2 linked regions of the Macaca mulatta genome follow. The protein of the gene in region 2 interacts with the protein of the main gene of each other region in a pairwise test. Links are inferred from orthologs where the notes say so. Each region holds a gene or a part of one and is shown on either strand. Other genes may lie near its edges. The genes, in order: SMYD1 and UTP14A.

The links.
Region 1: the proteins of UTP14A (region 2) and SMYD1 interact in binary tests that used the Homo sapiens proteins (3 or more experiments, as listed by UniProt). The link is inferred for Macaca mulatta from reciprocal best matches to the Homo sapiens genes UTP14A and SMYD1.

Annotation. Positions count from the first base shown.
Region 1 is NC_133418.1:26,063,266-26,067,082, forward strand, and holds part of SMYD1 (histone-lysine N-methyltransferase SMYD1), read right to left. Parts: intron 2,248-3,817; coding exon 2,058-2,247; intron 1-2,057. UniProt on the Homo sapiens protein: Methylates histone H3 at 'Lys-4' (H3K4me), seems able to perform both mono-, di-, and trimethylation. Acts as a transcriptional repressor. Essential for cardiomyocyte differentiation and cardiac morphogenesis.
Region 2 is NC_133426.1:136,374,287-136,378,103, reverse strand, and holds part of UTP14A (U3 small nucleolar RNA-associated protein 14 homolog A), read right to left. Parts: intron 3,445-3,817; coding exon 3,325-3,444; intron 3,228-3,324; coding exon 3,133-3,227; intron 2,150-3,132; coding exon 2,026-2,149; intron 1,932-2,025; coding exon 1,854-1,931; intron 1,416-1,853; coding exon 1,019-1,415; intron 1-1,018. UniProt on the Homo sapiens protein: May be required for ribosome biogenesis.

The sequences.
Region 1 (3,817 bases), on a different chromosome or scaffold from region 2:
GTTATAGAGAAAAGAAAGGAAATGACTGTGATGACATCATAGACAGTCCAGCTTGAGGAAATGGTTAATAAGTTAGTCCAACTCCCCATTTTACAGATGAGGAAACTGAGGCCCAGAAGGAAGAGACTTGGCCAAGCCCAGGTGTTTAGAGTCATAGCCAGTACTAGTACACAGGCCTCATAATTCTTCTTCCAGTATTCTTCCTACTACATTATTATGGACTTTTTTTAATGCCTGAGGAAGCATTTGCTTTTAAAAAGATATACTCAATTTTTTCCTGCTCAGTTAGTATAGGTATTTTTATTTTGAGTTGTTTTAATAGAGAAACTCAATTTGATATAAAATACAATAGAAAGTTTTTGCCTTGAATTCAGGTAGGTTCAAGCTGAAATCATCAATCTTTTATATCAAGAGAAATGCCAACTCTGCAATTCATACTGAAGACGTGTGTGTATTGTCACCAGCTGGTAACAGCATATCTAAAGTGAGGGGATGGGAACTAAAGGTCACACATAGCCTTCTGAACGATTGAAACTGCCAGGTAAACATCAAAAAGTCTAAAGAAATGACCACATGGTTGTTTTATTTTAGAACAGAGAAAAGAGGGTCTGGCCTCATAATAATAATAATAATAATAATAATAATTACATAGTGTGGAAGCAAGATATGAAACAAATACTCAGTGCCTGTCTCCAGGAAGGAAGGCTGGCTGGCTCACAGATAAGACATGCTTTCTGCAGGTTCTGAAAGGTCGGGGTGAGGGTGGGTGCAATAACAAATTCTTCTCTGTAGCGCCCATGATGTAGTGCTCAGTGCCTCTCACATACATCCAATATAAATCTCCTAGAATACAGACCTTTGCTTCTCTGAAAAGAGGTTGTTCCTATAGAAAACATTAATCCTTGGGCCCCAACTGCTTTGTCTCTTCCTGCGAAGGGTGACTCTCAATATCTTCACCCCAGGCATCACTGGTCCTCCTACTTCTGTATGGAGACCGAGTATGCTTGCATGGGCATGGGTGTGCATGTGTGTGTGTGCCTTTTAATGTTCATAAATGGTAGCATACACAGTGTTAGGGGTAAAATTGTATCCTCCCAAAATTCATATGTTGAAGTCTAGCCCCAGAAGCTACCTTAGAATGAGATCTTACTTGGCAATAGGGTCATTGCAGATGTAATTAGTTAAGGTGAGATCATACTGGAATAGAGTGGGCTCCCAACCCCATATAACTGGTGTCCTTATAAAAGAGAATGCCATGTGAGATGCCTCCATGACTGTGCTGATCCCCCTCATCCTCCCCCTGAGCACAGCTTCCCTGGAGGAAATGGACAAGAAGAGTCAGTGCTTTCTTCGGTTTTGGCTTCTCACTTAACACTATTGCAGTAAGTGATTAAATACTTCACACTCACTTCTGCTCTGTTGCTTTAACTGGCTACTCTGACACCTGGCGCCTCAGCGCTCTCTCCCAGCTCAGCTGGGCTCTTGACCTCCCGTCAGCAAGCCTTCTTCTGCTGCTCAACAGACTGACCATCAACTAGCAACAGTTACCCAGGAGTTCAGGATGTTGACCAATCTAAACATAGCCCTGTCTCCACACTGCCCATCCCCATGGGACTAGGAATATCTTTTTCATAACCAGATGACAAATATCTTTGCCCATCTGATCTCAGCACCTTAAATTCTCAACATCCCTCAACTCATAAAGGAGCAACAGGAGGAACCAAAATTTCCAGTGTCTGCTCTGTATGCCACTCCTTTTATACACATCATCTTCTTTAATCTTTATAACAACCTCTTGCAATGGGACCATCATTCCTATTTTACAGTTGAGAAAACTGGGTGACTTCCCCAAACTCAAACACCTGGCAAGTGGCAGTGCCAGGACTTAGCTGGGACCTACCCACGGTGCTCTGCTCTCATACCCTGCCTCCTCCCCAGGGTCACAGCTGCTCCCTAGGAAGCTCATGGGCAAGGCACACTGATTAGCTGTGAAACCACCTGTGACTGGCTCCTGGAGAATATGGACACAAATACCTCAGCAGCAGGGTTGCATGTACCTTGGGATTGTCTTTCACCCCCAGGAAGAGGTCGTCCTTCAGTTTTTTCTGGCAGTGTTCACATGTGCAGTCAAAGTAGTACTGCTTCTTCAACTGCCTCTTGCGTTCTTCACTGACGTTGAGGAAGTCGATGTAGGACACAGTCAGCTCCTCTCCTTCTGAGATCTTGCCCAGGGCCCGGAGCTCAATTCTGGAGCAGGGCGAAAGGAAAAGGTGGCTCGAATCCAGGCCTACTGGAATGGGATCCATGCTCTCCTCCAAGGCTTTGTGGAGTTGGGTCTCAAAGACAATGACTTTCACTGGCAGTCAGAAACCCCCATTGACTCCACAAAAGGAGAAATGTGACCTAAAGGATGATTTTGTGGATAGTTCTACTCTACTCCTTAGAACAGTCCGATCCACTCCATTCAGTTAACTGCTCTGGAATCAGCTCAAATAGACTCCTAGTAGAGAGCTGGGCTTGGTCATAAAACCAGACAGAATGTCCATGCCCATAAGTCTCCCTTTACTTTTAGCTACTGATTGTCTGTAATAAAAGAAGGAGAAATAATAAGGCAGAAACTCCAAACAAGAAAAAACTTGAAAATCTTTTCTGGTTAGTTTGGGGACTACTCTCTCAGAAACATAAAAATTCAGTTACCCACAACCTTGGCTCATTCGGTGTCTAACTCGAAGTCACCTCTTGACCTTCAGTCCAATGGTTCAGGCCAAATTACCTAACGAGACTTAGCCCACTGGAGATCATTGAAGGCAAATAAACAAAGGCTGGCTCTGTTAGCTCACTGCATTGTTCACTTTTGTGTTTATTGGGGGATGTGGCTTGTTGGTTGAAGGTCGTTAGCAAGGGCAGATGGCATTTCAGTTCCCTTCCAGCCTAGACCTGACCCTCAATTACCTATAGCACAACCCACCTTACTTAATGAGATAGGTACTGAAGATGTTGAAGGTAAAAACCTGCTGCAGAACTGACATCCAGCTGAGCCAAACAGGTAGAGGTCAGCCTGTGGATCTCTCAGCCATGCATCCTCCACCACAAGGCCAGACAGCTACAGAAAACAAGTGGTGGGCCCTGCAAGCTGGGTCCTAAACCGTGCTCCTGTACCTCCCCAGAATCCTGGGGCCTCCCTGCCTAGTGGGAAGCCATCATCCAGAGAGCAAGTGGCAGGATGCAGAGGGCTGGGGAGAGTGCCTGCACAGAGATCCATGGTCATTTCTTTTACCTCCCAGAAAGGCTCAGTTAGACACCACGCAAAAGCAAGGGCAAGACTCCAGCACCCAAGAAGAGTCCCAGTCAAAGGCAGCCCCTTCCCTGTGCTCTGAGATGACAATCAAGGAAGCAACTGCTGAATGGTAGTGACGTTCATGTCCAGGCGTCTGAGGTGACCACTGATGGATACAAATCCTTCTCCCAAAGTGAGATACACTGACACACCTATTAATGTGTTAATGTGTATAAAAACAACTCCTGTGGAGTCTGCAAAACTGAAGTGCCTGCTCACCATTTGTCACTCCTTTCCTTTGTTCCTTACCCCAATTTTCGGCAGCAGCGGTTACTGTAGTGATGAAAGGCCAGTAGGAGAGGAAGGCCGGGTGATTCTGCTCACAGTTCTGCTTAGAATCCTAGTTTGTCTGAGCTGCAGGGATGCTCATTTCACAAATGAGGATAGTGACACAAGAGGGATAGGTCCCACAGCACTTTGGGGACAGAGCCAGGATTAGAACTTCATACCATTCACGATTCCCCTCAACATAGTAGCCTT
Region 2 (3,817 bases):
TCTACAAAAACGTAGCTCAGCATGGTGGCACATACATGTAGTCCCAGCTAGTTGGGAGGCTGAGCCAAGAGGATCGCTTGAGCCTGGGAGGTCTTAGGCTGCAGTAAGGTATGATTGTACTACTGTACTCCAGCCTGGATGACAGAGCAAAACCCTGTCTCTTAAACAAAAAAAAGTAGAAAAAAAATAATTTTTTTTTTGCCATGTAAAACCAGATTTTTGCCGTCATCTAAATGCATTCCTATGTGGAACCAAACCAGACCTGGTAATTTGTCCAGATAGCCAAGTGATTTCTCAATGTAGGTAGTTTTCCTAGGCAGGCTTTTTAGTGTCCTGGTTTATTGCCAGAAATGGGAACTCTGACCAATCTCACAGGTGCTAACACTGTTAATAAGATCTCTTCAAGATAACAGGTAGAAAATATAAAGTACAAATAGAGCCTGAGCATGGAGTCACAATTCTAATTTGCCATGTAGCCCCGTGGAGTCATTCATTCCATAAAGTCTCACCCCATGTAGACACACATAAACTAGAATTAAGAAATGCTAAAAATGCCACTCCTACTTAACCAACAAAACAAAAAAATCCGGCAATTAGAAGATGTTTCCTAATGTCTCAAAATTGACCTATCTGTGCCTATAGGTGTGAATGGACTTTCAGATTTGCCATTCTACCATATGTACTTCTCCCTGGTGTGTAGGTACCAGGAACACTAACTCACACCCTAACTTCAAGGATGGTTTAGTTATTATGGCTTTCCGAAGGCTGTAAGCCCCCCAAAACAGAAAATGTGCCTGAACCACGTTGCATGGCCATGCAGATGAGTGCTTATTAAATGCCTTCAAAGAAGAGTAGTTATGAATGTAATTTCTCTACAGGGATCCAGTGCATGCACTCTTGCAAGTCCCTAGAGCCTAATCACTATGCAGTTGTGTGTGTGGGTGGACACATTTTTTTTTTCTCCCATAGTCTGTCCACAGCACTAGGAATTTCTCCCTTCCATTTGATCACAGCTCACCTTTTGTTTCTTGACTGCCTGCTGGCTCAGCATCCTGGCTGAGCTCAGACCTTTTTCTAAGGGATCGCCTTTCCTCAAATTCTCTCAACAAAATTTCTTCTTCTGCCACTGGTCTGTCTTCTCCCTCACTTTCAGAAACTTCGTGGGCCTCAGGCTCTGGCAGTTGCTCAGGGTCCTCCTGGGTTGCAGCCTCTTTGGTGTCACTGGTACAGCTCCTGAGCATCCAGGGATTCGGCCCGTCTGCATTCATCTGCACTTCATTCACTACATCAGGGACAAGGAGTTCTTCCACTTTTTCTTCTGTGCCTCCCTCCTCTTCCTCACTCTCAGAGGCTACCTGGAGTTTCTGTGTTAGTTCTTTGTTCTTGGCCAACTGTTCCTGCATAGCTTGGCGAGCCTGGAGGAAAGAGTCACAGCATGAGAGCCCTGTCATTAGTGATTGCAATAATACCTTTCCTGGTCCATTTCATAAAGCTGCCTCCTCTCGATTTGACTTGGTATTTCTTACTGGTACCTACTGTTTAAACTGCATATACAATGCTGGGTTAATAGCTGTGGTATAAAATGGAAGACAAATTCTTTGTCTTCAAGGAATCAACAGGTGAAATAAGATTTTAAAAAGCTCCTCTCCCGCTTTGGACTTGCCTTCAATGCTGTTTCCCTTTCATCTCTCCTTTTCCACCTTGTTTCTGGTCATTTTCCTTTCTGCCTTAGAGATTTTTCTGATGCCTTTTTAGATTCCTGGTTTTCCATCCATCCTCATGGCTCTTCCCCAACTCTGCTTCTGCTAGCATCCTCCAATTCCAGATCTTCTCTCACCCCAAAGGTCTCTTACCTCCAGGTCATATTTGGCCATAATTGCCTTTGACTTGGCCCATTTCCCACTGTTTTGGTGCTTAAGGCTCATTCTTTCCTAGAAAGAAAGAACAGAGTGAGATTTAGACCTTTAGTGGCTTCCAAGGAAAGCTGGTTCAAAGGGGTGGGGGTGGGGCAAGAGGTAGTCTCACCATCATTCTGGCCTTTTCAATTTTTTCCAGTTCTTCTAGTGCCGCAGCTGGGTTAACCTTCCGCAGCTGTTCAAACTCTTTTAGGGCTTTCTTGGCCTTCCCTTTCTTCACAACTTTGTGATACCTGTAGGGTAAGAGGGGTAGGAGGGAAGAGTTCAGCAATTTAGCTGAAGCATGGATGTCATAGGCACAAGTGCCCATACTACCCAATGGGTTCCCTAGGCAGGGGGCTGGAACGGGCATCATAGAGCTAGTTGGCTATAGGGAGTCAGTTTGGGACCTGAGAGGACTGGCAGGATTCTTGGTACCCACAGTCCTCAGGGTAGACCTCTGTGGCTCAAAGAGTCTCCTTTGCCTCTATAACTCAAGGGAGGAGTAGAATAAGTTTCTTTTTTTTTTTTTTTTTTTTAAGACAGTGTCTCACTCTGTCACCCAGGCTGGAGTGCAGTGATGTGATCTTGGCTCACTGCAACCTCCACCTCCTGGGTTCAAGCGATCCTCCCGCCTCAGCCTCCCAAGTAGCTGGGACTATAGGTGCACATTACCATGCCTGGCTAATTTTTGTATTTTTAGTAGAGATGGGGTTTTGCCATGTTGGCCAGGCTGGTCTTGAATTCCTTACCTCAAGTGATCCACCCACCTCAGCCTCCCAAAGTGCTGGGATTACAGGCATAAGCCACCGTGCCCAGCCAGTTTTACCAGTTGCCCAGGTTGGTCTTGAACTCCTGAGCTCAAGTGATCCATCCATCTTGGCCTCCCAAAGTGCTTGGATTACAAGCATGAGCCACCACATGTGGCCAACAAGTTTCAAACAGGCAAAAAGGCAGGAAGGAAGCCCTATTGGCCTTAACAGCTCTGGAATTCAGAGCTCATTCTGCAGAACCACTCTGTGATGCCTTGGAAGGTAGAGAAAGTAACTGAATAGTCCTCTTTTTGGCAAAACTGTATGAGGTTGGTTTGTGGGGAACAAAAGGCTAGTCACGCCTGTTTGGGACCTCATCTACATGACTCCAGTTGCCGCATCAAAGGTTCTCTCCAAAGAATTTATGATGAGCCACATGACTTTCTTCTGTGGAACCAAAGGCCAGTTCACAGGGGCCTCCTTACTTTTTACTTTTGATTTTCTTCTCTCTTCGAGCCTTGGCCTCATAGTAGGACTGCAGAGCCCGAGCCCTCTGAAGCTCTGCTCGGCGCATCTTTGCCTACAACAAATGATATTTACAGTGACATCTGGGCCAGAAGACAAATGCTAGGAGAAGCGTGGCATGCCTGGGTGTGAAGGGCCTATGACACACTTACCTCTTCCAGGCTCATAGCTTGGAGAGAGGCCTTTTCCACGGGGGTCAGTAAAGGGTCTGCCACTGGCTGCTTGTTCTTATGGAGGAGGTTGAAAATTTCCTGCTCCAGGGGAGTTCTTGCCTTAAAGAAGCAACAAAACATTCTGAGTCTTAAGCCATGCTCTTACAGCTTTCTCTCTTTACTATGATTATCTAACTTATGACACTATAATTGGAATCATAAGTGGATAGGATTGGCTGTTACAGCAAGAGAAGGGGGTTCCAGTCTTGTTGTCAGCAGTGTAAATAAAGCCTTATTTGATTCTTATATGACAACTTCAGCAGGGAGATGCTGAGGCTACTCTCTAATACTGCTGAGAAGGATCACTGTGTTCAGGTTACCAGTATGTTTTTTCTTTGAGACGGGTCTTGCTGTGTTGCCCAGGCTGGAGTGCAGTGGTGCAATCTCGGCTCATTGCAAGCTCTGCCTCCCGGGTTCACGCCATTCTCCTGCC